Sus scrofa: one gene and its partners. The protein of the gene in region 5 interacts with the protein of the main gene of each other region in a pairwise test. Links are inferred from orthologs where the notes say so. Each region holds a gene or a part of one and is shown on either strand. Other genes may lie near its edges.

Region 1 (4,831 bases), on a different chromosome or scaffold from region 5:
ACACAAAGACTTGCATGCAAATGTTTGTGGTGGCACTATCTGTTACAGCCAAAAACAGAAAAAAAAAGTCCATCAACAGGTGACTGAAAAGGCAATGGAATATTATTTGGCAATAAAAAGGAACAAACCACTGACAGATGCTATTCATGCACAAACTTCAAAAGCATTGTTACATTAAAAAGTCAGACATGAGAGACTCCATATTGAATGATCCCATTTACAAGAAGTGTCCAGAGAAAGCAGACTGATCCAGAGAACAGATTAGCAGTTTTCTAGGGCTGAGGGCTAACTACAAATGGGCATAAGGAATCTTACTGTGGTGATGAAAATGTTCTAAAATTGATCTACGATAATGGTTGCACCATTTGGTAAAGTTACTAAAAAAATCACTGAATTGTACACTTGGAATGGGTGAATTTTATGATACGTAAAATATGCCTGAATAAAGCTGTTTTTAAAAATGCATGTGCTTTTGCTTCCTGTCCCTTGAAGAATTACAACTGGCCCTTGAACCACACCAGGGTTAGCGGCACTGAACCCTGGGCAGTTGAGAATCTATGTATAACTTTACAGTCAGCCCTCCATATCCATGGCTCCACATTCTAGGATTCAACCAACCTCAGACTATGTATTACGTAGTACATATTTAGTGAAAAAATCTGTAGAAGTAGACTTATGCAGTTCAAATCTGTGCTGTTCAAGGGTCAATGGTAAATGACTAACTTCAAGATGTAGCAACTTCTATAATTTTTATTAAGCAATTGTACTAAGTCTATAACCTTGGATGAGAAACCACAGTCTTACTGCAGAGAGGCCCTAGTATAGTGTTAGAAACATCTCCTCCAATTGGCTGCTCTTTGGGCAGGGGCTTCCAGGAAAAGTATTTCTCATAAATCAAAGCATTTTTTCTGATGGTTTACATTTTAAGTCGTCAGTGCCTAGAAGCAGCTCAAAAGTATATACAAAAGAGACTTAAGTTGTCTTGTGCCAATGGGCTGACTGACCTGATAGGTGTTTTAGTCAACATTCAGATTACAGAAAAATTTAAAAAGACAAACAAAAATGTTAACAATTTCAAAGGGCGCAGGGTACCTTATATAACCTGGAGAGTGTACTTGTCCAGATGGCAAAGGCTTGGGTGTATAACATCAAAACACAAGAGGCCTCAGTAATGTTATAAGCGTTAATCCAATTCCTGAGTCTATAGTCATTCTAAATATATTCTCCTAACTGTCCACTCTATAAAGTCTTTCAAAACTAAAAGCCTTCACAGCTCTCACAGTACGTCAAAGAATTTTACAAATCTTTTAGGTCTTTAGATAAATACCACCCTGCCGGTGAGGCCTTGCCTGATAAACTTATTGAAAATTGCTAACCTCACAAAATTCCCTATCCTCTCTTCTCTCATTCATTTTTCTCAAGGGCACCAAATATATACATACACACATATATACATACATATACACGCATATATACATACACAAAGGAATTGTTGTCTTCCCCTACAAGAATTTATTAAAGCACCACAAAAGGAGAGATTTTAATCTGATTTTGTTTCTAGGGTATCCCCATTACCTAGAACAGTGCCTGAAACACTGTAGGCACTCAATCAGTGCGTTCTGAACAAACGAAAGGATATCAGACATGTGGAAGTAAATAAGAGCTGGTCCGTGCCACAGAAATAAACATTTAACAGCCTTAATTTAAAGTTAAAACATCAGTTTTTGAGGAAATAGAAGTTTCCATAAAATCTACAAACTACCTAACCAACATTTCTAGAGCAAAGGGGGGGGGGGAGGCAAACTACACTTACAGTAATGGATTTGCAACAATCAAAAGAGAAGTATTTTTAAATAGCCGGTTCTAGTTCGGGGGAGGGGGACAAATTAATTAAATCCATGTGACTCTTATTAACAAAAACAGGAACGTTCAATACTTAACTAGGAAGAAGTAAAAATAATTCAAAAGCAACCTGTTTTTCTACACCCCAAAATGGGACCGCATCACCAAGAACACAGACCTCAGCAGAGCACAAACGCCTTAGCAGTTCTGGCCTCAGCCCGGCATCCCCCAAGATCCAGCACCAAGGACCGCATTTTCTCTCCCGCATCCCAGAAGCCTTCCTAGGACCATTTTACACAAACCAACCAACCTTCAGACCTCCCAGCTGTAACTAACCCCGATCCAATGCAGCTGCATTCCAGCCAGGAGAAAGACCCACCCAACCGCTCGCTCGGGGAGCACCCCCTAAACTCTCAGCCCCACCAACCCAGCAAGGGAGCACGAAAGAACTCGGACGGCAGGGACCTCCCAGCTGGCCAAACTGGAGGACATTTTAGACCTACATCCCAGTGTGACCTTGAGCATGTTCCTAAACCCCTAGGGGGTCCTTGTTTTCTCGCGTTTAAGGTGAGGATAACACCTGCATCTGCCCTAAGGCTCAAAGGAGATCACCTGTGAAGGACCTAACGGGGCACCTGGCAAAAATGGAAACTCCACTACCAGGAACGCGTGTCATTCCCCACCCCTACCCGTACAGTCTCCCAGCAGGAAGGCACCTTGCCCAACAGTCCAGTCTCCCGGTGTCACAGAGCAGGGCACTGAAGTCGGGCGGGAGAAGCGTCTCGCTCCCGACTGCGAGAAAGGCGGTGGGCGGCGGCCCTGGACCCCGGGACGCTTGCGCCCCTCCCGCGTCCCCTCACCCGGCCGCTGCCGCGGGGCGAGGAAGTGACGGCTGCCCTCCCGGAGCCCCCGGGCTCCGCGCGGCCCTGGTGGGGCCGCTCCACCTGCCGCCAGGCCCCGCCGCCCGCTGCCCACCCACTGCCTGCTGGCGGCCCCGGGCTCCCGGGCTTGGCCTCCCGCGAGGCTGGCAGCCCGGAGCAACGGCCTCGGCGCGTACTCAACTCTTCACTTTGCCGAAGGTGCCGACACCCAGCGTGTCCCCCAGCACGTAGTGTCCAATCTTCACCCGCCCGTCGTGCTTCTGCTTCTCAGCCATGTTCGGCGCGCGCAGCCTCGCTCCGCCGCCGCCGCGGCGGACTCCTCAGTGCGGCCGCAGCCGCCGCCGCCGCCTACCCACAGTGCAGCGGGCCCGCGGGGGGCGGGGGCCCGGAGGCGCCGAGGGCCGGGCGGGGGGCGGGAGGGCGAGCAGGTGGGCGGGGCGGGGGCTCGAGCGGGTGGGCAGAGCGCACACCCCCGGCCAGAGCCGGCGCGGGGACGTAGGTGTGCGGAGCTGGCGGGCGCGCAGGGTGGGCCCTGGGCTGGGCGCAGGAGGCCGGGTGGAGGGAGGGTCGGAGGACTACAGGTGTGCGCGGGAGGCGGTGGCGGTCGGATGGTGCCCCGCTATCTGGGGGCGGGGCGGTGAGGAGAACCCGAAGGAGTGGAAATGAGGGTGGGATTTGGGCCGAATCTTAGCAAATGCGGAGAGATGCAAGCTGAAGGTGGAGAAGAGAAACAGGCCTGAAGTGTGAGGAAAGAGGGGTGTGAAAACCAGCTTAGGGGTCTAAGGGATCCGGGCGGGAGGCGATGGTGAACGACCTTGCTCGAAGGTCAGTCTAAGGAGAGCTACAAGGAAGTTTCTCCAGTCTCAGGTTCAGTGTTATGATACAGGTCATGACACACACACAGAACCCAATTGTGTGCTGGCTTCAGTGACCCACCTCGGTGTACTTCCTCATTCTCAATCATTTTGAGCTACAGATGGAGACCCTCCATTCTAGAGTTCTCAGTTCTCACTAATTTGGACAAAGTTCTCGGAACAATCAGACCCAAGAGTTACCTGATTGTATTTTAGCACATACCTATATAAATAGTGTATAAATAATTTGTGATGGAGCCGTACAAAAGGGAAACAGTGACGGAAATGAAGAGAGCATGGAAAGTAAGATACATAAGGGACGAAGTACTACGGTGAGCTAGGGCAATATAAAGGCACAAATTAAAGGTAAAGATTGAAGTGGGGGGAGGTGGTAAGCATTAAAAACTGCCAAGATACAGTAATATAGTAATGAAGTGGTTCTCACTTCCTCCTCTCTCCCTTCTTTGCTTCCTACTGTGTCCCAGTCTTCAAAATTTCCTCTTTCCGTGACTAAAAATTATTTGCTGATTGGGAATAAGTGTTTAAGGATTAACTGAACATTTTTAACTTTGTGCATGACAGTAGAGTTTCAAGGTCACATTCCCCAAACAGGAAATTTCATCTCACTATTTTTATGTAAAGAGAGAAATATATTTATCAGAAAGAATAAGATGTAACAGAAGTTTGTTTTCCGAGAAGTGACAAATATACCAATGGCGAGCATACATCCATTTTTGTTTAGCCATCAAGTCAATCTGATGAGAGATGATCACATCTTATAAATTATAGACATCACAGCTGTTGAACAGAGGCTATTTTTGTTCATTCTTAGGATCATCTTTCTTGCTGACCAGAAGTATTATTTAAAAAACAGTCTACCTAGCTGACGATTTGGAGAAAATAGCCAGTTATTTTTGATGCTGAACCTTCATTTGATTGATGGTCACTCCAGTATTCATTCAAGTAGAAAAAATACCTATTCTTCTTTTGCAATATAAAGTGTCTGTGTCTTGTTCTAACATCTCATTAAAAGATGTTAAAGAGTATTAGATTGCTTTCTTGAAGCTGTATGAAGACAGCCTATAAATATTTAAAAGCATTGTGCACTGTCTTAACTAGTGGTTGATAATTGCAACTTGAATTATTGTATACCTCTTAGCTATGTTCCTTACCTAGCACCTGTAAACAACCTGGTAGCTTTATTATTATGCCAAACAAGTGGGTGGTACTTTGTTGAATAAAAAGTTCATTTAA
Region 2 (4,073 bases), on a different chromosome or scaffold from region 5:
TTTCTGTTCTGTAGGCAACAGAGGCTAACAGCTAAGAACACAGACTCCGGTGTCAACAGTCTTGGATTTGACCCTTGGCTCTGCCACTTACTTGGTACATGACCTTGGGCAGCTCTGTAACCTTGAATGCATCAAGTGTATAAGATAATTAGGTAAAATGAGATTATTCCAGCCCACGAGGTGGGAAAGAAAGCTCCTGAACCACAGAGGGGTAACAGAATCTAACTCATAAGGTTGTTACAAAGATTAAATCATGTAATCCATACAAAAGATTCAGGGCAGCGCCTGTCACATATTAAGTACTAAAGGAAGAGTGACAACTAGTTTTACTGGGAGAAGGCTTCAGCAAAGACAAAGCCCTTTCTTAGTTTTGCCCCTAATGTCAATCCTTCCTTGGGATCCTCCTGGAAGGCCAGCGTTGGGAGGTGGGATGGGGGGGAACGGTCTGGAAGGGTGTGCACTCGTCCCCCAGCCCAGGCCCTTTCCCTCGAGGTGGGGCCCAGAGCCTGGACTGAGTCCGCCTAGGCTGGCGTGTGCTGCCAGCTGCGCTCACTTCATCATACCTTGGGGCCTTCCCGGCGAATTGGTTCACAGGATTTTGGTTTCCATCTGATCGGGAGGAAAGAAGAGGGGTGAATTCTCCAAGATCAGGCTAGACTGAAAGCAAGTCTGCTGCTGCTGCGAGTTCCTCACACTCTCACTCCAGCCTGGGTGTACTGGGGACCCCACAGCACCAGGAGCCACCCCAGGATCTGCTCTGACATCACCCAGCATGTGGGCTGCAGTTTTCTCATCTGACAGAAGGAGGTAACAGCAGCAACTCCCTACCTCGTGTGAGTAAGGAATGAATTTGCTCCGGGAAAGGGAGAGATGGAAGGTGGGAGGGATACACGAGGCCAACCCCTAAGTTGGTGGTTTCAAACTACCTCCATCTCTCCTAACCAGACCCGTGTGGCTTTATCTGCTTTATCTATTGGGCTTCCACGTAAAGTTCTGTTTGAAGAAAAGATTCTGTTGCTTCAAAATCTTTGAAAATGACCATCCTGGAGACAATGTAGTATAGTTTTGCTGTTATTAGCTGCCTGACTTTGAGCAAATAATTCTGAGTCAATTTCTTATCTCCAAAATTAATTATACCTTAATTACTTACTAGAGAATGGCTCCAGTAAGGAATAAAAGGCACAATACATAAGGTATTTAGACCAGTTATGGCACATGATAAGTGTTCAATACATACTGCTAATAAAAAAAAAATATCTCTCTCGGAGTTCTCATTGTGGCTCAGTGGTAAAGAACCCAACTAGTATCCAGGAGGATGAGGGTTCGATCCATGGCCTTGCTCAGTGGGTTAAGGATCCAGTGTTGCTGTGAGCTGCAGTGTAGGTCACAGAGATGGTTCAGATCCCATGTTGCTGTGGCTGTGGCTGTGGAGTAGGCTGGCGGCTGCAGCCTGGGAACTTCTGTATGCTGTGGGTGCGGCCCTAAAAAGACTTAAAAAAAAAAAAAAAAAAAAAAACCTCTGGTGTTTAATGAAGTTGGGCTGAACTGTTCTGGGGGCAAAACCAGGATAAAATCACCTCCCCTCACTGCCATGTTTCTCGGCCTCTCAGACCACAGTAACTCTCCTCCATGGTGACCTACACTGAAGGAGTGATTTCACCAGGAGAGAACTCTGGCTTCTTCTCCTCCAGGCCACTCCCTCCCCGCTCTCCTTCTGGCTCTGTTGGCCCCTACTCACACCATGCCTGCGGCGGCCCGGTCATTCGACAGGATGTGTCCAGGAGGCCGTCCCTTCCTCTGCCACAAAGAACAGCTGTCAGAGGCCTGACCCTGTGGGAAGCCCCCACCCACTGGGGCGTCCAGGGGAGAGGGCTTTCCCTTCTAGACCGCCAGGGAACTCCCTTCCAATGAGACCAAACGACCCTCGAGAGTGACCAGGGAGGGTGACGGTTCCCAGGTTCCTGCCCCTCAGGCTAGAGAGGACCAGAGATGAGCTGAGGAAGCTCAGCCCCTTCTGCAGCTGCAGGGCCTTCTCCCGGCCAGACAAGGAGGAGATGGTTTACCTTTTTGGGAATGGGGCTCCCCCGATGGGCACCCTCCTCTTCTGCCTGCCGGCCACGCTGCGGGAGAAGGGAAGGGAGTTGGTGGGAGGCCAATGCCCAGGAGCTTCGGGTCCCATGGGGCTGCAGAAGTCAGAGCCCCTGGACCACTCCTCAGCCCCTCCCTGAGCTGGGACTCAGAAGCCCTCCCAGCACGATGCTATTTATATCTGGCCCCACAAATGCATGGTACCTAGAGCCTCCCCTGGAGCCAGGGAGTTCACCTGCCTCCCAGTCTGAGTGGTCTCCCCCCTCTAAGACCCCAGGTGACTCTGACCTTGATCCCTGGAAGCTCATGGGTCAATCTGGGTATTACTTTTTCTCCATCTGAAAAGAGTAGTTTAGCCTGAAAGGAAAAGACCAAGTGTTACTAGTCACTATTTTAGTAAGTAAGCCTCTCTGTCTCCATTTTTATAGACACAGCTTCAAGCTGGGTTAAAACTCTTTCATGGTCAGTACAAAGGGATCCTGAGACATGGACACAAATAGATATCTTTAAAAAAACTTGGAGTTACCGTCATGGTGCAGCGGAAACAAATCTGCCTGACTAGGAACCATGAGGTTGTGGGTTCGATCCCTGGCCTTGCTGACTCAGTGGGTTAAGGATCCAGCATTGCCATGAGCTGTCGTGTAGGTCGCAGATGTGGCTTGGATCTGGTGTTGCTGTGGCTGAGGTGTACGCCGGCGGCTACAGTTCCAATTAGACCCCTAGCCTTGGGAACCTTCATAAGCTGTGGGTGCAGTCCTCAAAAAAACAAAAGACAAAACAAAAAAACAAAAAAAACCTTGAGTAATTAACGACCATTGTTGAAAAATTAGAAAAATGTGAATAAACAAAATAAAAATAAAAAAAACCCCAAATCTGGAGTTCCCGTCGTGGCGCAGTGGTTAACGAATCTGACTAGGAACCAGGAGGTTGCGGGTTCGGTCCCTGCCCTTGCTCAGTGGGTTAACGATCCGGCGTTGCCGTGAGCTGTGGTGTAGGTTGCAGAGGCGGCTCGGATCCCGCGTTGCTGTGGCTCTGGCGTAGGCCAGTGGCTACAGCTCCGATTCAACCCCTAGCCTGGGAACCTCCATATGCCGCGGGAGCGGCCCAAGAAATAGCAACAACAACAACAACAAACAAAGACAAAAAGACAAAAAAAGAAAAAAAAAAAAAAACAAAACCAAATCTGAAACCTCAGGACTCAGAGTACTGTTAACATTTCGATGCAAACTCTTTCTCACTTTTTGCCATGTAAATATCTGCTATGTATTTTTTCTAAGTAAATGCACTGATATTAAGCACAGTCTTCAGTAAGTTGCTGTTTTTCATTTAATCGATACTGAGCACAAGGGCCTTGCTCTTGTGGAGCTTATATTCTGTGGGCGATCTGGACGTTAAGCAAATAAACAAACACATAAGCACAGTGACTGTAGACCATGAATTTTTCTCTGAAGGAAAAAACACCAGCCAGGCAGACGTGACAGAATCACCCAAAGGGAAAGCTACTTGGAGCAGGTGGCCGGGGAATGCCTTGCTGAGAAGGGTGCTCTGGCTAGGATGTGATGGAGCCAAGCAGAGAGAAGGCTGAGGAGAAATGTGTTTCAGCTGCAGGGGGAAGCACAAAAGCCCTAAAGTGGGAACAGATGTGGCTCATTTGAAGAAGAGGCCTCGCGGTCCTGGGAGAAGGAGAGGGGTGAGCGGGAGCATGGGGAGGCTGGCAGGGCCTTGGAGGCCTGTGAAGAGCTGGGTTCACGTGACCTCTTGGAGCCGCACTGGACAGCCCTGAAGGCTCCCTCCTTCTGGAAACAGTCTTCTATGGGCTCTGTGGCCACACTCCCTGGTTTACCTCTTGCTTCTTTGGCCATTCATCCTTGGCTGTTGTTTACTGGCTCATCCTCTTCAGTCTGGTTCTTTTCATTAGATAGTCTGTCTGCTCTCATCCATGCTCAGAGCTTCAGCTAGCATCACCTGCTGACTCCATAATTTTC
Region 3 (4,073 bases), about 37 Mb from region 5:
AATCCCAGAGCAGGCAAAAGGGACTGAGAAACATCGCTTACAGCTACTTAGGCTGACAGGCCCTGAGGATTCCTTAGACTCCCTTTTTAACTCCCTACCATCTAATAGCCATAGTCTCCCCACCAATTTTCTCCCAAAGCCTACCTGGGGAGAAGGTTTTCGGTAGAAGTGCTTAAGCTGTTCATAGGGCAGAGGGAGTTGCTGGCGTTGGTACATGATATGCTTTAGAAGTTCACAAGTAAACCGACAGCAGCCTTCCTGGCTCACAGGCCCAGGAAACACCACTGGCACCATGCAGTCTCTGGGACGAAGGGGCTCCGAAGGGTTGGGAGGTTCTTGGGCAGAAGTAGTCTCAAGTAGTTCTATCTGGGGGTCGTGGGTTTCCTCCGACTTCTCACACCACTCCAAACCTAGTTGGGGCACGGAGAGATAAAAGAGAAAAATGAAAAACTTAAAAGGCCAAAACCAGTCTTCTCATTCTCTTGCGGCGACATCAGCTACCACCGCGGAGGTGACACCCCGACAATTCACAGTATCTCCGCAAACTCCCCTGTGGGCGGTGGCGGAGAGATTCCGCAAACTCCCCTGTGGGCGGTGGCGAGATTTCCTCGCCTAAGAGGTTTTAAGAGATGACGAGATTTAAACGGGACGAGCGGAGGATTTCGGAGGCAATGACTGGGGCTCTGCTCAAAAAGTGGAGGCCCTGATCTAGGAAAAAGAGCGGAGAGTGTAGTTAGGGTCCAGAACCCGCCGTGAAGACGCAGTGGGGTAAGCCAATGGGATCAAGGGCCGTGGGGGTGACACAGTCAATGGGGCCGGATCAGAACTGGGAGGGATGCTGGGAAACCCGGACAAGGAAGACGAGCTAGAGAAAGGGCCAGGGCTAATTGACTGGAGGGAGCGGCGGCAGGGCGAAAACAGGTCCCTAAGACTCCTGGAGCTCCGGACCCCACGCCTTACCAGAGACTGCGACCGGGGACTGCACTTCCGGCTCCGGGGCCGCCATCACGACCTCCTTCCTCCTCTCGGAGCAGTTTGAATAGGCGCCCCGCGAAGCCTCATGGGAAACCTTCGCCTCTACTTCCGGTTTCGCCGGGCCGGAAGGGGCGGAGCGCCGTGTACTGTGGTGTAGGCTAGGCTGGGTGAAGAGTTGAGCTTGGCGTTCCCCACCTTAACATCAGGCGGGTACGCCAAGCCCTTCCCCAACAGAGAAACCACGGGTTCTCAGCCACTTAGCGCTGCTTTCCAAAGGACAACCGCCCGCAAGCGTCCGTTCTCTCCCGCAGTCTCTATTCGCTGCGCACCTACTTCGCGCCAGGCCCTGTCCTAGGTGCTGGAGACTCTGCGACGAACAAGCCAGAGGCAGGCGCTGTCCTCAGAGGGTTCGGTGCCTATAGATGGAATGCAGTGTGATGAATTATACAGTAGGGTGTACGTGGGCTGTGGACACGAAGAACAGGAGAGCTTAACCTAGAGGGAGTGGGAGCGAGGGGTGTGACCTGCAGGATGTGTAAAGAGGAAGGTGTAAAGAGGAGACTGTTAAAGTCCCGGAGACTGTTAAAAAGAAACAAGCTCCAGAGTTCCGGTTGTGGCTCAGCGGGTTAAGAACCCGACTATGGTCTCGCTCAATAGGTTAAGGATCCGACATCGCCTAGACCTGCGGGGTAGGTCGCTGTCGCCGCTGATATACCAAGTTGCTGTGGCTGTGACTTAGGACCGCAGCTGTAGTTCCAATTCGACCACTAGCCTGGGAATTTCCATATGCTGTAGGTGCGGTCCTAAAAAAAAAAAAAAAATCACAAAGAAAAAAAGAAACAAGCCCCAAATGGAATCACTTCTGCTAAATCTCACCAAGAATTAGTACCTAACTTAATCGAAGTTTCAGCTTCACCTAGAGTGGATTTTTATTTTTTTCCTTTCTTGGCTGCACCCACGTTATATAGAAGTTCCCCAGCCAGGGATAAAATACGAGCCACAGCTGTGACCTATTCCACAGCTACAGCAACCCCGAATCCTTAACCCACTGTGCCAGAGCGGGAACTCATGGAGTAGAATTTTAAACTAACCAGTCTGGAATTTCCTAGTCTGCCCTAGTGAGGTAATCTGCAAGATAAAACCCCCTATCATTCCCCCTAACGGTAGGTGACCATTCCTTTCTTTCTTTTTGCTAATAACCTCATCCTGCCCTCCTTTCTATAAAAGTCATCCATTTTCAACAGTCCTTCAGAGTGCCTGTTTTTGTTTTTAAACTAGATGGGATGCTGCCTGATTCATGAATTGTTGAATAAAGCCAATTATATCTTCAAATTTACTCGTTTGAATTTTTGTTTTGTTTTGTTTTTAGGCCACCACTCTCCTTATGGAGTTCCCAAGCCGGGGATCAGATGCAAGCCGCAGTTGTGACCTAAGCCACAGCTGGGGCAACACTGGGTCCTTAACCCACTGTGCCGGCCAAGGGATAGAAGAACCTGTGTCCCAGCACTCCCAAGATGCCACCAATCTTGATCCTGTTGCACCACACCAGGAGCTCCTGAATTTTGTTTTTTAACAAGACCTGGAGATACAAGAGCATCCTCTCTTCAAGGAATAAAAAAGAGTTCAGCTTATGAAGAAGTAAGGCTATGATGAACAAACAGGAGCCAGATCATGGCGAAGCTTTATAAACCATTCTAAAGCCAAAGTTTGAACTATATCCTGTAGGAGAGTAGGGGAACATTTGAAAGGTTTAAGTAGGGGCCTGACATGATTACATTTACATTTTATAAATTTAATCTCTACACTGGCTACAGTGTAGGTATTTTGATTACAGAATAGATAAAGGAGCTGGCATGGATGCCAGTTAGAGCTAGCAACTGCAATTCCCAAGTGCATGGTGAAAGAGGTCTGAACTAGAGTAGTCACAGTGGGGTGGAGAGAAATGGGTGAGCCCTAGAATAAGAGGTCAGTTGAGCATGATGGCTGACCCCAGGAATAGGAGGAGAGATAGAGAGAGACTGGCAAGAAAACAAGCAGATTTTTTTTTACTTCATCAACTCTATGGCCAGTTATGCCACCCAGTGAAGGAGAGAAAACTAGAGGAGGACCAGGTTTATTGGGGAATGAGTAAGGAGAAAAGATGAGTTCAGTTTTCTGGGGTTTTTGTTTGTTTGTTTTTTGCCTTTTTAGGGCCGCACGTAAAAAGGCATGTGAAAGTTCCCAGGCTAGGGGTTGAAGTAGAGCTGCAGCTGCTGGCCTACACCACAGCCACAGCAAGATGGGATCGGAGCCACATCTTTGACCTACACCAAAGCTTAGGGCAATGCCAGATCCTTAACCCACTGAGCAAGGCCAGGGATGGAACCTGCATCCTCATGTATACCAGTTGGTTTCATTTCTGCTGAGCTACAACAGGAACTCCCTCCTAGCTTATTTTTACTCTATACAAGTTCCCTGGGTGATCTTATCTGCCCCCTTGCTGATGACTATCAAATACATATATTTCTATTTCTAATGATGTTCCTAAATATCTTTTCACTGTCCAACGGAACAGCAAACTCAACTTATTGAAAACTCAACTCAGAGTTTCCATCATGGCTCAATGGAAACGAATCTGACTAGCATCCATGAGGACTAGGGTTTGATCACTGGCCTTACTCAGTGGGTTAAGGATCCAGTGTTGCTGTGGCTGTGGCGTAGGCTGGTGGCTACAGCTCCAATTGGATCCCTAGTCTGGGAACCTCCATATGCCATGGGTGCAGCCCTAAAAAGTAGGCAGCTATAGCCCCGATTTGACCCCTAGCCTGGGAACTTTCATATGCTGCAGGTGCGGCCCTAAAAAGGCATAAATAAATAAATAAGATACTGAAGACACTAATGTCTGGAGGATGAACAGAAAGAGAATCTGTGGAGGAGAATGAGGAGTAGCCAGAAAAATAGAAAGAAAAACAGACAAGTGTCAAGTGCTGGAGGCCAAGAAAAAGGTGTGTTTCAGAAAGAAAGGACCAAAGATCAAAATATATCATAAAACTACAATGATTAAAATACTATGGTATTGGAGTTCCCGTCATGGCTCAGTGGTTAACCAACCTGACTAG
Region 4 (3,448 bases), on a different chromosome or scaffold from region 5:
TGTATATTTCTGTCACTGTTTTATAATTTTATTTTAAAATAAGTATCACATGGAAAAATAATATTACCTGAGGATTTGGTGTTGCATTTCCTTGGGTATTAGCCGAATTTGGTGTTCCCTAAGCCAAAAAAAATAAGAGAAAGTTACAATTTCCAACCCTTCTAAAAAAACCCAGCACGGAGTTCCTGTCGTGGCTCAATGGTCAATGAATCCGACTAGGAACCATGAGGTTGAGGGTTCGATCCCCGGCCTTGCTCAGTGGGTTAAGGATCCGGCGTTGCCATGAGCTGTGGTGTGGGTTGCAGACGCGGCTCGGATCCCACATTGCTGTGGCTGTGGTGTACGTCAGCAGCTACAGCTCTGATTAGACCCATGGCCTGGGAACCTCTGTAGGCCGCAGGAAGCGGCCCTAGAAAAGGCAAAAAGACAAAAAAAACCCCAAAAACCCCAGCAGATATTTACATTTATAATTACTGCATAAAAGTATGATTAACAGATTTTTTTATTCTACCTTACTTTTGCTGCAAATTTACATTTCAAAAACTCACTCAAACATTTATGTATAGTAGAATATTTTTGAAAGGTCTAGCCCTAACTTTAGACTATATCATAAAATTCAACCTCCAGGCTTTAAAATTATGGAGAAATATATAAGAGAAAAGCCAAGAACTAGTCTTTCTCACTTTTTTTTTTAAATACACAAAAAAGCAAAAAATCATACTTAGTAAAACTGATTTGTAATCACTTTCAATCTCAAAGTAACTACTTTTTGGATGATAATTTCACCTTTATCTAGTATTTTGAATTAGATTTTGAATTCCTGAACTGTTCAAAGAAAGCAGCTTTGAGTGGAATACTCATGATTACAAGGTAACATCTATAGCATTATTTATACACAGAACTTGAAAAATAAGCCAATAGATATTAACATATTTTGGAGAATGATGGAACCAAATGTCAGGCAAATTCAAATAAAACTGTTTAATATATATCTGCCATAAGTAAAGTTTTACATTATAATGTGTTGCTTAAACACAAATCTACAAATGTTAGAACTCAACCATTCTAGCTTCTTAAAAATCCACCTCAAACACACAGAGATGCACAAGCATGCCCCAAAGATCACCCCTCAAGTGGAAGACAAAGAACTATCAAATTTTCTGACACCAAAAAAATATGAACATTTGCCCATCTTACCTGACCAGGTTTCTTGTTCACGGTGGTTGCAGTCTGCTCCACAGTTTTGGCTTTTTTCTTTTCTTTTTTCTTTTCTTTGTCAGCAAAAGTACCACGCATTTTAGATATTATATCAGAATCTGTTTTTGCATACTGGATTCGCTGTTTTAATTATTTGAAAACAGGTTACTTTTCACTCCGCTGAAGCCTGTTTACACTTGTCATTAATTTTGCAAATTTCATTAAGCAAATATGAGCTAATTTTAAACACATCCTTAAGGAAATGTCAAATACACTGAGCTCCAAATGAAAATAAATTGTGGCCCATGATTTACAAGTGAGACAAAGTTAGATTCAGCTATGTGTATTAGAAGAAAAAACCATATATTTTCAGATGAGAAAACGGGACTTTGAAATATCCATACCACTGCTCTCCTCCACTTAAAAAAACAGAGAAAACTGCACTGGAAAGCTGTCCATCCCTTAGCAAGGATGCTCAACAGAAGGTCAAAATATGCATGGGATTGTTACTTCCGAAATTAAAGTACCAAAGATTGAGAAAGACCTGCCTTTGAATCTGAGCTATTATTTTTAAATGAAATGACTAATGGGGGCATCAACTTAAATTTTAAAAGCTTTGAAAGGAAACAAAAGGATGACAACATAGCTAGTGCAACTACAACACTGACCTGATTGACAGGCCATAGCCAGGAGGCATAGCACACACCAGGGAGCAGGCATGGAAACACCCTGGTCTAGGACTACATTTCATCAAATTTAACATGCATTCCAATTACCCAGAGAACTTGCAGATCCTGATGCAGTGGTTCCGCTGAGGCCTGAGAGTCTGTACTTAAAACAAGCACAGAGGGCATCTGGGAGAGGGGGCACACCATGAGCAGTATGGCCCTGCCCTAAGGCACTGTCACATAGCTAAGTCTCATACCAATTACCTGTCCCAAAACTTTTGCTACAAGTTATGCTGTCATCCAGGTGTGCCTATTTGCAAACTACAACTTCCAATTCAAGGGAATATTTCTTCCCTGGCACCCAAAGAGCCGAAACTACCTCTGTGATCATACCAAAACACCACAGCCCTATCAATTCTCTCTAAAATTGTCCCGTATGGCAAGAAATTGATTTCAGTCTGAAGGGAACAAGTGACATTTTAAAGTAATGCAGGCTTTAAAGCAAGAAATGTGTCACAACCAAGCAGTTCTTTCCCCACCCCACCCCTTTTTAAATGGCCTCACCCATGGCAATGGAAGTTTCTGGACCAGAGATTGAGTCTGAGCCACAACTGCAGCAAAGCCCCATCCTTTATAATCTACTGCACCGGGCCAGGGATCGAACCCATGCCTCCATAGCAATCCAAGCTGCTGCAGTTGGGTTCTTAACCCACTAGGCCACAGCAGGAACTCCCTTTCTTTTACATTAGCTAGAGATGAATGTACAGGAGAATGAGAGGGCAGCAGGCCTCCCAGGACCGCTCAGTCCCAAAGGCTTCCTATGAAAGCTCTAGCCACTAGACCACGGACTTAGCTGTGATCAACTCTTGATAATCCTGCATGTCGTCATCTAATGGAAAGGGACAGGTCTGGACTAACTCTGACTTGGTCCCAAGGATTCCTTCCCAGCTACCCTGGGTCTTTAACCTCCTTGTTGACCTAAACAGATCTTGGGTGGTCTTGTATTTGTCCCTGTGGCCTGAGAATACCTCTGCCCTGAATCCTCGCTTTCAGCAGGCTGGTCTGGAGCAGCAGTTCTCAATCAGGGGAGAATCCGCCCCCAGGAGACAGCTGGCAGTGCTGAAAGGGGGCACAGTGGGTTGTCATGCTAAGAGGGCAGAGGCCAGGGGTGCTCTAGACACCTTACAACCAACAAGGCAGCCCCAGCAACTATTCAGTTCAAATACCCCAAGTATCAGATGCTGAAAAGCCCTGGTCTAGACTAAATCCTGGTATAGGATAAAAGTCCATTCACAACTTAGAGAAGGCGCAAGATTTACATTTATTCCAAAGGTTTCATTACAGAAGCCCTTAGGAAGATGGTTCTGTCTTACTGAGCTACTTTGGAAATTAAATATCCAAATATCCTTGAATCACAGAGCATAATTTTGTTCTGAGTTCCAAGTTATATAAATTTTTGTTCATTTCTAATCTGGTATGTTGAGTTAAAGAGCAACTGAAACCACCTAAGTAAAGACAGCTCAAGGAACATTCTTTTCCTTTTCCAGGATGCTGGCGACTTGGCAGCAACTACTACTTTCCTA
Region 5 (3,745 bases):
TGAGGTTGCGGGTTCGGTCCCTGCCCTTGCTCAGTGGGTTAACGATCCGGCGTTGCCGCGAGCTATGGTGTAGGTTGCAGACGCAGCTCAGATCCCATGCTGCTGTAGCTCTGGCGTAGGCCGGTGGCTACAGCTCCGATTCGACCCCTAGCCTGGGAACCTCCATATGCCGTGGGAGCGGCCCAAGAAATAGCAAAAAGCCAAAAAAAAAAAAAAAAAAAAAAAAGAGGAGTTAAGTGGGTGGGCCACTGGCAGGCATACCTTAGGCGAAAACATTGGTAAAGTGTTAAAGAGAGCATCTGCCAGAAATAAATGAGGTCTTGGTAATGACGTTATAGCTGAATAGGACCCCACTACCCTTTCTGAAACTGGATTTTTTTTTTCTTTTTTGTCTTTTTGTCATTTCTTGGGCCACTTCCTCAGCATATGGAGGTTCCTAGGCTAGGGGTCCAATTGAAGCTGTAGCTGCCGGCCTATGCCAGAGCCACAGCAACACGGGATGCAAGCTGCATCTGCAACCTACACCACAGCTCATGGCAACACCGGATCCTTAACCTATTGAGCAACGCCAGGGATCGAACCTGCAACCTCATGGTTCCTAGTCGGATTCGTTAACCACTGAGCCACGATGGGAGCTCCTGAATTGGATTTTTAAAGGCATTTCTAGACTCCCCCTCTTCTGAGCAAGAGGCTCTGCTGTAGCAAGTGCAGGAAACAGTCTGCCTAGTAATAGATACTGATCTACTGTCTTTTAAAATTTTTGTTCTTTTACTTTAACTCAATATATCCTGATGCTTAAAAGATAAATAAATAAAAAGTATACTAAATCAGAAAGTTAATGGATTTGGCTCCATTAATCTCTAAACGATTAAAGTAGCAAAGTGGAGGAGAGAGAAACAATTTTATTTTTGGCCTTTTTATTATTATTCTAGTAATTGGGGGCTTCCAACCTTTTATTTCCAGATGGTTAACCCACTGATATTGTTATAGGTGACCCCATCTGATGAAAACCATTCTAAAACATCAATTAATTCAGTTAAAGACCATGGTCCCTCTGTCCCCAAGACAGATCCTATCAAGAGAGGGAAAAGTCTCTTCTCTGGACACAAATTAAACTAACATGAAAAAGATAAAAAATCAGTCTCTGTCAAGCTAGGCAGGAGGGAGTGTCAGGTTTGTAAAACCAAACCTGGTACCTACCTTCACCGTCCTTCCAAACAGTAGAAACCATTCCCTCTCCTCTTATCCCTCTGTAATCTAATTCATTTTTAAAAGGACATCTCGCCTAAATCCCACCTCCAATAAATATCCAGTCTAAATTATTCTCCACCCAATTATTAAACTTTTTCACAAGCTCTGGGGGGAAGATTTACCCTGAGACAAATAATAAACAGAATGGGGATTCTGGAAAGATAAAAAGGTACAAGGCATAGTGGTCCCAGCATCAGAAATGAAAACATTCTGCTCCCTGTGTGACTCGATAAAAGCAGCAGGAAAACATATAAAGTCAAGCTGATATGAGGGAGAGGAAATATTTGTGACTGATGGGGACATGAGATTCTTAGCTGCATTATGCAAGGACCTGTGCTTGGAGAGAAAAGAAGGGGTGCAAGGCAGCTTTATGTTCCAGGGAAAATGGTGGGACTGGGGGATGTACTGGAATCATCAGTGAATCAAAATTCTTTACTCCTCCTTTGCCTTCCCCCATAGACATGGGCCAAAGCCTGGCCTCTCTGTAGTACAGTAGGGAAAAGTATGGCAGATCTGAGAGGAGAGCAAGAGCCTTTTCCGGCCCCATCATTTGGACCAGACCCTTGGCACTCTCTTCATTGAGGCTGCAGGCCTGGATTCCTGCCCATCCAATCCCCACCTCACTTTGTGCCTTGGTCATCCTTCCTGGTTTCCCTCACTACATCCCCCAGTCCCGACCCTCAAGAACACAAAGCTTTTCAGTTCTTTGCCACAAGGTAATTATAAAAAAATGTGGTTTCTTTGTTTAAACAGTTACTAAGTTGGTTCATCTTTTAGTAACAGACCTCCCCTCGCCCCCCACTCAGTCCTGGATGATCACATCATCGTCATCATCATCATCGTCTTCTTCCTCCTCCTCTTCATCCTCACAGTCTTCTGGCAGTTCTTCCTCCTCCTCTTCCTCCTCTTCATCTAGACAAACCACCACTTCAGCTGGCTCAGGTAATCGAGAGTCAAACCAATCCAATACCTGCTGGGTGCTCAGCCTTGATGCCTGACTCAGTTGAGGGATATCGCTCTGCCGTAGCTGTTGGTGGGTTGACCAGTACCTCTCCAGGGGTCGTATATCCGGTGGGGGTGGGGGATTCGGCAGAGGTGGTGTCTCAGCCCAATCATTCAAGGAGCGGGTTGAAGGTGGTGGTGTGGGAATTGCTGGATCCTGGAAGCTAGGGGCCCCAGGTACTGCGTTGTCCCGAAACCATTTTAGTTGCCCATGCTTCAAGGCATAGCGTGTGTCACCAAACCACTGAATAATCTCAGGCCGAGGTAAACCAGTGATCTGCTCTAATTTATGGTAATCCTCACGCCGTGCCCACTGGCACTGTAGGAAAAATGATTTGAGGATAGCCAGCTGCTCTTTGGTTTTGCGCTTGGTCTTTCGCTGGCGCTGCATATCTGGGGAAAGGTACTCTGCAGGGCCAACCCTCCCTGGTGCTGAGTTATGCCTTAGCCCCTGGGGCCAGGCTGGCTCCAGATGTGGGGGTAGTGCCTGTTCCTTGGGTGATGGTGGCTGTGGGATACAGCCCAGTGGCTGGAGGGGTTTAGAGGTGGCAGTAGCTCCATTAGCCAGTACCTGGAAAGAGGAAGAAGAGGTAGAGGAAGGAGGAGTCACATTAGATGCGGACTCCTTCTTGCAACTACTGGCAAGTAATGAGATGGGCGGGGGCTTATCCCGAGCTCGGGGCTGGTGGACAGCTGTGGAGTGGTTCCAGGAAGCAGTACCTAGGCCGTGGGACTGGTCGGGATCCCTGCCTGCCTGCCCTTTAGAGAAGCCACTGCTCTGAAGATCCTGCCAAAAGTTTGATTGGTGGGGGAATGTCCCAGTGCCAGGTACCAACAGGGGCTCTTTTGCTTTCTGGTGACTCAGTGGCTCTGAGGACTCCTCAGGCTCTACCTTCAATCCTTTCTTCTGGGTGGGCTCGCTAAGAGTCAGGGGCACTATTCCAAGACCCACTTGTTCTGGAGGTGGCATCGGAGAAGGAGGCACCTCCTCTGGGGGCCGCCCTGCATGATGAGTGAAAGAGAGAAGGGATTTGAAGTGGAGTTGGTCCCGATGGTAGACCACACGGGCTCGAGTCTCTTCTATTTCTTCGGATGACCAGCTAATGCCACAGCGGAGGCGCTGGGCCATGAACCAAGTCTTGACTTTCTCCATCTGCAGCCCATAGCGTAGGCAGAGAAGGGCAATGTCTGCTAAACTGGGATAGGGAAAGTAGCTGAAGGTTTGTAGCAAGTGTTCATTGCCATCCAGCTCACTGGTCTGGGCTGCTTGGGTCCACACAAGCTGTAGCTCCTCAGAAATTGGAGGGAGACAGATGAGCCCCGCAGGGGAGCTATTAAGACTGCTGGCCTCTTTATTAGGAGGCATGGTGCTTTCTGACTTGTGCCCTTCAGAGATCGCTGTAATAAGAAGAAAAACAGTTCAATCACTGGGGCTCCTCTTTCAGCCCATTGCTCACTTTCTACCAAACAAAATGTTTGGAGTCCAAAACAA
Region 6 (4,708 bases), on a different chromosome or scaffold from region 5:
AAGAAAGGATAAAGCAAACATGAAAAAAATAACAGAAAGTACAATCAAGATGACAGAAATTGAGTGTTCATTCTATCAGTCTCTATTTTCTTTGTGTTTGAATTTTTTTTTTTTTTTTTTTTGCTATTTCTTTGGGCCGCTCCTGCGGCATATGGAGGTTCCCAGGCTAGGGGTCCAATCGGAGCTGTAGCCATTGGCCTATGCCAGAGCCACAGCAACGCGGGATCCGAGCCGCGTCTGCAACCTACACCACAGCTCACGGCAACGCGGATCGTTAACCCACTGAGCAAGGGCAGGGACCGAACCCGCAACCTCATGGTTCCTAGTCGGATTCGTTAACCACTGCGCCACGACGGGAACTCCCTGAATTTTTTAATAATAAAACATTTTTTAAAAAAGATGTTGAACTGGAGTTCCCGTTGTGGCGCAGTGGTTAACGAATCTGACTAGGAAGCATGAGGTTGCGGGTTCGATCCCTGGCCTCGCTCAGTGGGTTAAGGATCCTAAAAAACTGCCTCCCCCCAAAAAAAGATGTTGAACTATTGTGTGAGAAGAGACAGATGATCAAAAGTGGAAGCAATGCAATAAGCACAAAATTACTAAAATAGTTCAAAGGATGATAAACCAAGCCATTGCATGTGGAGAAAAGACATATTTAATATATATTTTGGAAGTAAAATAAACAGAACTAGAGATAAGCTATAGGTGAGAATAAAGTGAAAAAATGGAGATTGATTCCTGAATTCATAGCTTGAGCAACTGGTGAATGACAGGCACTTACTAAGATGGAAAAGACTGAAGGAGGGACAGCTGGAAGAATGAAAGTTAATAACCCTACTTCGTTCATATTAAGTTTTTTTTTTTTTTTTGTCTTTTCTAGGGCCTCTCCCCAGCATATGGAAGTTCCCAGGCTAGGGGTCTAATCTAGGAGCTGTAGCCGCCGGCCTACGCCAGAGCCACAGCAACGGTGGGATCCAAGCCGTGTCTGCAACCTACACCACAGCTCATGGTGACGCCAGATCCTTAACCCGCTGAGCAAGGCCAGGGATCGAACCTGCAACCTCATGGTTCCTAGTCGGATTCATTAACCACTGCACCATGACGGGAACTTCCATATTAAGTTCTTAAATGGATAATTCAAAGTCTAAACTTTTTTGCGAAACATTATAAGGCCTCCTGAAAATCATTACACTGAGTTTTGAGCTTTCTCATCTGGGCAAGTTACTTCAATTCTATTTCCTGATCTACAAGAATTAATAATAGTATCATAAAATTATCATATGATCCATTAATTTCACTTCTGGATATTTAACCAAAAGAATTCAAAGCAGGATCTTGGAAGAGATATTTGCATACACATGTTCACTGCATTATCCATGTTAACCAAGAGGTGGAAGCAACCTGAATGTCCAACAACAGAAGAACAGATAAAGAAAATGTGGTATATACATACTATAGAACATTATTCAGCCTTTAGAAAGGAGATCCTGTCTCGTGTGATAACACGGGTAAACGCTGAGGACATTATACTAAGTGAAATAAACCAGTCATAAAAAGACAGATACCATATGATTCCACTCATATAAAGTTATCTAACGTAGTCAAAATTAGAAACAGAAAGTAGAAAGGTTTGGAATTCTCCTGTGGTGCAGTGGGTTACTCATCCTGTGTTGTCATTGTAGCTGCCAGAGCTGCTCCTGTGGTGTGGGTTCGATCCCTGGCCTGGGAACTTCTATATGCCGTAGGTTCAGCAGAAAAGAAAATAAAAAAAGAAAAAAAAAAAAAGAAAGTAGAAAAGTTGTTGCCAAGGGCTGGGGGGAGGGGAAAGGAAGAATGAGTACAGAGTTTCAGTTTTGCAAGATGAAAAAGTTCTAGAGATTGGCTATACAACAATGCAAACATATTTAACACTACTAAATGTTATGCTCAAAATGTTTAATGCTATATGTTTGTGACCATAATTAAAGCCAAATTGAAAAAAAAAAAAAAAAGAGGTGCCAGAAATTATGTAGCCTTTGTATATTAGCCTTTCATCTCCATGGAACCTGAACAGAAAAGAGGAAATCAGGTAATCTAAGCTCCCTAGTTCACTTACCCTGCAGCAGGTACTCCATCATGTTAATGGTGCCCCCGGTGACAGGCATCATAGTGACTGGAGGTGCCTCCATGCTATCTGTTTAAGTTGAAAGCAACAGAACCGGATTCAGAGTCCCAGTCAAATAAAGCACAGGACACACCTGGAAAAGAGTTATGCTTGTTAATACATCAGAGAGATGGAGAGACACCAGATCTACCTGGGTCATTAGCCTTAACATCAAAAGATTCATTCATTCATCCAGAACTTTTTGAACAACTTCCATAAGTCAGTTTCAGGAATTGATGATACAGAAATACACAAAGGAGGCCTGATCATGGAGTTATAATCTTTCAGTCTCAAGGTCTGAAACCTTCAGTTTCAGAATTTCCTGTGCAATAAGCCATCAAACCGCTGACCCTGGGATTCAATGTCTTCCTTATAAAATGAGGTCGACATTTAACCCCCAAGGCTTTGTGGCTCAGATGACACAATAGCCGTGAAATAATAGAACTGAGAGGTGACTCCCCTTCAATTTGGAGATGAGGATACTGACACTTTGGGTGGGGGTTGGAGGGAAGGATACAGAGCAAGTCCATGGCAGAGATAAACCAGACAAAAATCTAGGCGTTCAAAACGCCTTTGAAAGCGAGCCAGACAGAAGTGCGAAGTTCTTCTGACGATTGAGGTCCTCCTACCCCACCATCGACGCGTGCCTACTCACACCAAAAACACACCTCCGCGCGTGTTCTAGCCTTTTCTGGCAAAGCAGGGAACTGAAGCCACCAGAGCACCTCGGAGCTTTTTAGCGATAATTAGCCCCCAGCACTGAACTTGAAGACCCCCACCCCCCGGTGGAGTGCAACACTTTCTCCCCTCCACTTCCGGCAAAAAGTCTCCGTCGCGCAAATCTTGACATCACCATTCTGCGACGTAAGGGTGCCGGGAAGGCATAAAAATCATCTCTGCGGCCTGGCAAGTAGAAGCGCATGCGCAAACTGCGATTCTGCGTGGAAGAGGGCGGCCTTCCTGAGCGCGTTCCTCGGGGCGTGAGGGGGACCTTGACATCAAAGGCAGTCCTCCCGGAAAATATTTTCCTTTTTTCAAGTGTGACGGCCTGGAGTTGTTTTTGTCAAGGAATTCTTTTGGAACTTACAGGGGGAAAAGAGAGCCGGGGGAAGAGAGCTGAAGAAAAAAAGAGATCATAAAACCAAAACTTCTTTTGGTTGAGTACCTGAAGATAAGAAGGAAAGACATCTTTTACTGTTTAGCAGACTGTTCTGAACAATTAGGGAACTCAGCAATACATTTGATATTTGTTCACTCTTCTGTGTTTATTTTACCTCAATTCAAAAATTTTGGGAGATAAGTAAATTCAGCTCATTTATTGAATGTTGCTTGTGTGTCAAGCATGTAAAATGCAAAGAATGGAGCTAGAGTATGGTGGTTGAGGCACTCCCTGGAGCGAAAAATTTAAGGGGCACCAAAACTCCTAACAATTCAAAAAATTGTAATGCAATCTTTTACGAATTTAATGTGGAAAAAAAATCCTTAATGAACAAAATATTGGAATTTTTGATCTTCACAGCAGCCCTGTAACCCAAGTATAATTATTACTTAATTTTACTAATGGAGAAACTTAGGCATCAAGAAATAACACACCAGGGAGTTTAGACTGGGGTACAAATTTAAGCAGCTGCCTGATTTCAGAACCCACCCTCTTAATTGCTACACATCTTTTTTTTTTTTTTCTTTTTAGGGCTGCACCCTGGCATATGAAAGTTCCCAGGTTAGGGGTTGAATCAGAGCTTCAGGTGCTGACCTATGCCACAGCCACAGCAATGTGCGATCTGAGCCGCATCTGTGACCTACACCACAGCTCATGGCAATCCTGGACCCCCAACTCACCGAGCAAGGCATATAGAAGTTCCCAGGCCAGGGTTGAATCGGAGCTGTAGCCCCTGGCCTACGCTACAGCCACAGCTGTGCCAGATCGAAGCCAAGTCTGCAACTACACCACAGTTCATGGCAATGTTGGATCCTTAACTCACTGACTGGGGCTGGGGATGGAACCTGCATCCTCATGGGTACTAGTTAGATTCATTTCTGCTGAGCCATGATGGGAACTCCTATACAGTCATTTATAATTCCAGTTTCCCCTGCTGTAATTTATACTGTCTTACTCATTTACATTTTTAAACTTAAAAAAAATATTACCCACATTTTATCTGACATTTCAAAAGTAGGATTAAATTAAAAAAAAAAGAATAGGTAAGAATTGGGTGAACAATATGGTAAAACTTGGACAAGACTCATGATTTATAGGGATGGAGAAAATGTTATAAGAATGTGAGGCCTCAGAGTTCCCACTATGGAGCAGCAGGAACGAATCCGACTAGGAACCATGAGGTTGCAGGTTCGATCTCTGCCCTTGCTCAGTGGGTTAAGGATCTGGTGTTGCCATGAGCTGTGGTGTGGGTCGCAGACATGGCTCGGATCTGGTGTTGCTGTGGCTGTGGCATAGGCTGGCAACTGTAGTTGGGATTCAACCCCTAGCCTAGGAACCTCCATATGCCTCGAGTGTAGCCCTAAAAAGCGGAAAGAAAAAAAAAAAAAAAAGAAGAGGAAGAAGAA
Region 7 (4,073 bases), on a different chromosome or scaffold from region 5:
AAAAGGCACAAAGTGACTTATATCAATATTCACTAAATTTACCTAATCCCAAGAATAAACCAGAAATGTTACATAGTTCTGTTACAACACTTGGTTTGAAATTGCAGGAGTTCCTGTTGTGGCTCAGTGGTTAACAACAAGTCCATGAGGATGTGGGTTTGATCTCCAGCCTGACTCAGTGCATTAAGGATCCAGCATTGCCATGAACTGTGGTGTAGGTGGCAGACTTGGCTAGGATCCTGTGTTGCTGTGGCTGTGATATGGGCTGGCAGCTGTAGCTCCAGTTGGACCCCTAACCTGGGAACTTTCATATGCTGCAGGTGTGGCCCTTAAAAAAAAAAAAAAGAAAGAAAAAAATTACAAAGTGTTCCAAGGAGGTTATAGTTGATATGTTAGGACATGATTTGAGAATAATGCAAACTTCGCCCTTGGGAAACACTAAGTGAATGCCAACACCACACCCAGCTGAGCTGAGCCACTGGGGAATCCACAAAGTGCCCACGCCCCCCATAGCTACCAGCCAGCTCAGCTTACCTGCCTACCATCTGCACCTGTGTGTTCCCACCTCCTGACTTCCAGTTAACTCCTTCCCTCCTTCCCACAGCGCAAGCCCACCCTCCTGACATCCACTTCCCCCAGTACCCCAGGCCTTTTCAAGGCAAAGTGCCATACTACTGGTTTATTTATGCATTTCTTAGCCAGTGACCCTGGGCAAAACTGTGCTGCCACTATTATTAGATTTCTTGCTTTTTATTTTGAGCATTGTGTCCCTAACCCCATTTTTCCCATCAGCTCTGAGGTTTTTGTCGTGCAAGTTGCATAGCATGTTGGTTTTTAGGGATAGACACATCAGAGCTGTCCCAGGGCCTACCTAGAGACCTGTGGGATCAGAATCTCTGCAGAGGGAGGTGGGGACAAGGATCCAAGATTGTGGATTGAGATCTAAATGTTTCCTTAGGGAGTCCCCATTGTGGCTCAATAGTAACAAACTCGATCAGTAAACATAGCATACAAATTCGATCCCTGGCCTCGCTCACTGGGTTAAGGATCCGGCATTGCTGTGAGCTATGGTGTAGGTAGCAGACATGGCTCAGATCTGGCATTGCTGTGGCTCTGCTGTAGGCTGGCAGCTACAGCTCGGATTCGATCCCTAGCCTGGGAACTTCCATATGCCATGGGTGCGGCCCTAAAAAGACACACACACACACACACACACACACACACACGAAAGATCTGAGTGTTTCCTATGTTCCAAGGACATTTGGGAATTCCTAGTGGTTGTGGTCACAACACTACTTTTTTCAAAACAATGAAAAAACAAAAAACAAAAACGAAACAAATTAATACCCGCAGGTGACAGCACTATGGGCCCTACACATTTTATACAGATATGTAATACTTTTACAAAAGAAAAAATGTGGCATGTAAGCTGCTTTGCATCTTACAGTTAGCACAACCTGTTCACAAACACTGTCACAAGGAATACCCCAGCACTCCTTCCATGCTCTAGGGCAAGCCCTCTATCCACCCTGTTCTGTGAAGGAAGCCATTGTTTGGAGAAGTTAAGTAACTTTCTCAAGGTCCCTTCTCACCTATAGTAGCAAAGCACTGCTGCAGCCCATCACACTAACCCAAAGCCCCAGCCCTGCCCTCACCTCTTTCTGGGCCACCTGGAAGGGGATGGCTTTGCGCATGTGCTGCCGAGTGATGCCGCTCCAGCGAGTGCGGTAGTCCACGATGGGCATCTCAGGCCGGATGTACTTGTCGTAGAGGACATCGCCATAGTAACTCACCACGGAGCAGCGGGCCAACTCACTCACCCGCCCCCGGGGGCCCGTGCCCACCATCTCACAGTCGATAGCCACGCACTTGCTTGGCAAGGGCCCCGCAGATTCCCTGGGGGTGGGCTTTCTGCTGCAGGGGGCACCTCCAGATTCAGCCTTTGGACGCTGCCTCACACTGCTGGAAGCTTCTGTGCCTGGCGGAGCATCCAAGAGCATGGGCAGTGGAGAGGATCCTGGTTCTGGGGGTGCACTCAGCAGCCCCTGCTCCTGCAGCAAGGCCTTCCGGGCCATGAACCTCTGGTGCTGTCGGCTCTTCCTCTTGTGCTTCCTCCGAAGCACATCCTTGGCATTGGAGCTCCCCAGGGAAGGGCACAGGCACTGGGTGGACTCAGGAGCTTCCCGGGGTACCATCCCAATCAGCTCACCCCTCAGGGCAAGGGAGGCCTAGGAGGTAATGTGCCAACAGGGCAGCAGCCTGGGGAGAGAAGAGAGAGGGCAGAGGCGCTGAGTGAGGAGTATGCCAGCCCTGACCGCCCTCCTGCAGTGCCCTGTTGCTGGCTAGACTGCCCCACAGCCCTTGGTCTCAGGATTCCAGAAGGAGTCAAAGACCTATTTTCGTAATAATTGCACTCACACAGTTAATGGCACATACAGAATCACTGTTCTAAGTACTTTACACAGAATTACTCAATCTTCCAAACAACTCAAACAAAGTATCAGTATCCTCATATTACAGGTACAAAAACTGAGGCATAGAGGTTAAATAACTTGCCCAATTAATTAATAATAGGCACAGGCTGATGTGAATCCAGAATCCATGCTCTCAACCTCCAAGCTGTAACTAACCTCCAATATTGTAGGCATCAGAAACTTGTAGAGAGGTATGGTTATGGGAAAATAAAGGTTACAGAAATGGTGTGTGTATGTATGAAGTTCCAGTTAAAGGAAACGAGAGATTTTATGAAATGTATGGGCACAGACCCACAGCAGACCTGGAGAAAATATTTCATAGGAAGCCCACAATAGTTGTTTTTGGTATGTGTTAACCAAAATGACATAATGTAGTAAATGACCTTCTAATTCACTCATCACAACACTGTCTACAAACATTTAAAAATAGTTGGAGGAATTCCCACTGTGGCACAACAGAACTAGCAGCATCTCTGGAGTGCTGGGAGGCAGTTTCCATCCTCAGCCCAGCACAGGCATCGTCAAAGCTGCCACTTAGGTTGCAACTGAGGTTCGGATCTGATCCCTGGCCCAGGAACTCCATGTGCCACAGGGTAGCACCCCCCCAAAAAAAAAAGTTAAAAAAAAAAATATATATATATATAGTTGGACATGTAGTTTAATCATTGAAGCCTATAGGCACTTGTGTGCTGGTAAACAGGCTCAACTTAAAAGAGAGAGCAAGAGAAAAGGAAAGCCCTGATCTATAGTGCTGCAGATTTTCATGGTACCTCCCACAAGCTCTCATCCCTGAATGTTGCATTGAGAAGAGATGCTGTGGCCCACTACTGCAGCAAGAAATGTTTGATGTTCACATGGGTTTGCAAATCCCGTGCTAAAAGGCCGGCATCCCGGCATCTTCCGAATGGTGAAGAATGTAGCCTGGAAAGCTTCATCTTGTTTGCTGTGCTGAGTCAGTGCACCCAAAGAGACCAGAAAACCAGGACTTTGAAGTAGGCAGAGCAGGGGCTAACTCAGCTCTCTATAAGTTAGCTAACAGCTGAGCTTCAGGTTCTTTGCATGTAAAATGGCCCTAATAGCTTTCCCGTGGGAAGAGGAAATGGCACAATCCATGTGCTGGGATCTGCATATATTATACACAGTAGGGGCTCAATAAGTACCTGCTCCCTTTCCCCCCAGAATGGTGGAGACTCCTGCTCTTGGCTGGTAACCAGCTCTTCCCAAGCCAGACCTGCCTTGGCCTGGACTCCCTGTCCCTTTCCAACCTTCCTCCCGCCCCCTCCCCACTGCTCCTTCCTAACCTTCCTCCATTCTCCAAGAAGCCCTTCTGGAACAACCCTCTGGATTGCACAGGCTAATGCCAGCCTGAGGCCTCTGGGGTCCCAACTGTGGCAAGTGCTGGGCAGAGTTCCAAAAATGGACTCTGGGCTCCAAGAATCTAGTCTCACTGCAGAGACAAGAATGGAGCAGAAAGTGTGTGAAGGGCTGTGCGAGGCATGCCGGGGAAGCAGAACAGGCCAACGGCTGAAGAGATTAAGAAAGTGGAACCGTGGCCCTACGGGTGCAGGGGAGAGGAATCAGTGGCCACGACTGGGGCAA

The links.
Region 1: the proteins of HOMEZ (region 5) and PRKAA2 interact in binary tests that used the Homo sapiens proteins (3 or more experiments, as listed by UniProt). The two-hybrid records come from large-scale screens. The link is inferred for Sus scrofa from reciprocal best matches to the Homo sapiens genes HOMEZ and PRKAA2.
Region 2: the proteins of HOMEZ (region 5) and DNTTIP1 interact in binary tests that used the Homo sapiens proteins (3 or more experiments, as listed by UniProt). The two-hybrid records come from large-scale screens. The link is inferred for Sus scrofa from reciprocal best matches to the Homo sapiens genes HOMEZ and DNTTIP1.
Region 3: the proteins of HOMEZ (region 5) and MAD2L1BP interact in binary tests that used the Homo sapiens proteins (3 or more experiments, as listed by UniProt). The two-hybrid records come from large-scale screens. The link is inferred for Sus scrofa from reciprocal best matches to the Homo sapiens genes HOMEZ and MAD2L1BP.
Region 4: the proteins of HOMEZ (region 5) and SNRPB2 interact in binary tests that used the Homo sapiens proteins (3 or more experiments, as listed by UniProt). The two-hybrid records come from large-scale screens. The link is inferred for Sus scrofa from reciprocal best matches to the Homo sapiens genes HOMEZ and SNRPB2.
Region 6: the proteins of HOMEZ (region 5) and MED18 interact in binary tests that used the Homo sapiens proteins (3 or more experiments, as listed by UniProt). The two-hybrid records come from large-scale screens. The link is inferred for Sus scrofa from reciprocal best matches to the Homo sapiens genes HOMEZ and MED18.
Region 7: the proteins of HOMEZ (region 5) and AEN interact in binary tests that used the Homo sapiens proteins (3 or more experiments, as listed by UniProt). The two-hybrid records come from large-scale screens. The link is inferred for Sus scrofa from reciprocal best matches to the Homo sapiens genes HOMEZ and AEN.

The regions. Positions count from the first base shown.
Region 1 is NC_010448.4:155,751,197-155,756,027, forward strand, and holds the start of PRKAA2 (5'-AMP-activated protein kinase catalytic subunit alpha-2), read right to left. Parts: upstream 3,049-4,831; 5' UTR 2,999-3,048; coding exon 2,905-2,998; intron 1-2,904. UniProt on the Homo sapiens protein: Catalytic subunit of AMP-activated protein kinase (AMPK), an energy sensor protein kinase that plays a key role in regulating cellular energy metabolism.
Region 2 is NC_010459.5:48,007,684-48,011,756, reverse strand, and holds part of DNTTIP1 (deoxynucleotidyltransferase terminal-interacting protein 1), read right to left. Parts: intron 2,446-4,073; coding exon 2,377-2,445; intron 2,121-2,376; coding exon 2,064-2,120; intron 1,798-2,063; coding exon 1,739-1,797; intron 610-1,738; coding exon 564-609; intron 1-563. UniProt on the Homo sapiens protein: Increases DNTT terminal deoxynucleotidyltransferase activity (in vitro). Also acts as a transcriptional regulator, binding to the consensus sequence 5'-GNTGCATG-3' following an AT-tract.
Region 3 is NC_010449.5:38,616,032-38,620,104, reverse strand, and holds part of MAD2L1BP (MAD2L1-binding protein), read right to left. Parts: intron 1,392-4,073; 5' UTR 1,007-1,391; coding exon 961-1,006; intron 411-960; coding exon 145-410; intron 1-144. UniProt on the Homo sapiens protein: May function to silence the spindle checkpoint and allow mitosis to proceed through anaphase by binding MAD2L1 after it has become dissociated from the MAD2L1-CDC20 complex.
Region 4 is NC_010459.5:25,367,667-25,371,114, reverse strand, and holds part of SNRPB2 (uncharacterized protein LOC768116), read right to left. Parts: intron 1,339-3,448; coding exon 1,198-1,338; intron 119-1,197; coding exon 68-118; intron 1-67. UniProt on the Homo sapiens protein: Involved in pre-mRNA splicing as component of the spliceosome. Associated with sn-RNP U2, where it contributes to the binding of stem loop IV of U2 snRNA.
Region 5 is NC_010449.5:75,795,170-75,798,914, reverse strand, and holds the end of HOMEZ (homeobox and leucine zipper protein Homez), read right to left. Parts: intron 3,652-3,745; coding exon 2,054-3,651; 3' UTR 888-2,053; downstream 1-887. UniProt on the Homo sapiens protein: May function as a transcriptional regulator.
Region 6 is NC_010448.4:85,382,376-85,387,083, reverse strand, and holds the start of MED18 (mediator of RNA polymerase II transcription subunit 18), read right to left. Parts: upstream 3,000-4,708; 5' UTR 2,799-2,999; intron 2,238-2,798; 5' UTR 2,169-2,237; coding exon 2,096-2,168; intron 1-2,095. UniProt on the Homo sapiens protein: Component of the Mediator complex, a coactivator involved in the regulated transcription of nearly all RNA polymerase II-dependent genes.
Region 7 is NC_010443.5:191,205,238-191,209,310, forward strand, and holds part of AEN (apoptosis-enhancing nuclease), read right to left. Parts: intron 2,260-4,073; 5' UTR 2,196-2,259; coding exon 1,656-2,195; intron 1-1,655. UniProt on the Homo sapiens protein: Exonuclease with activity against single- and double-stranded DNA and RNA. Mediates p53-induced apoptosis.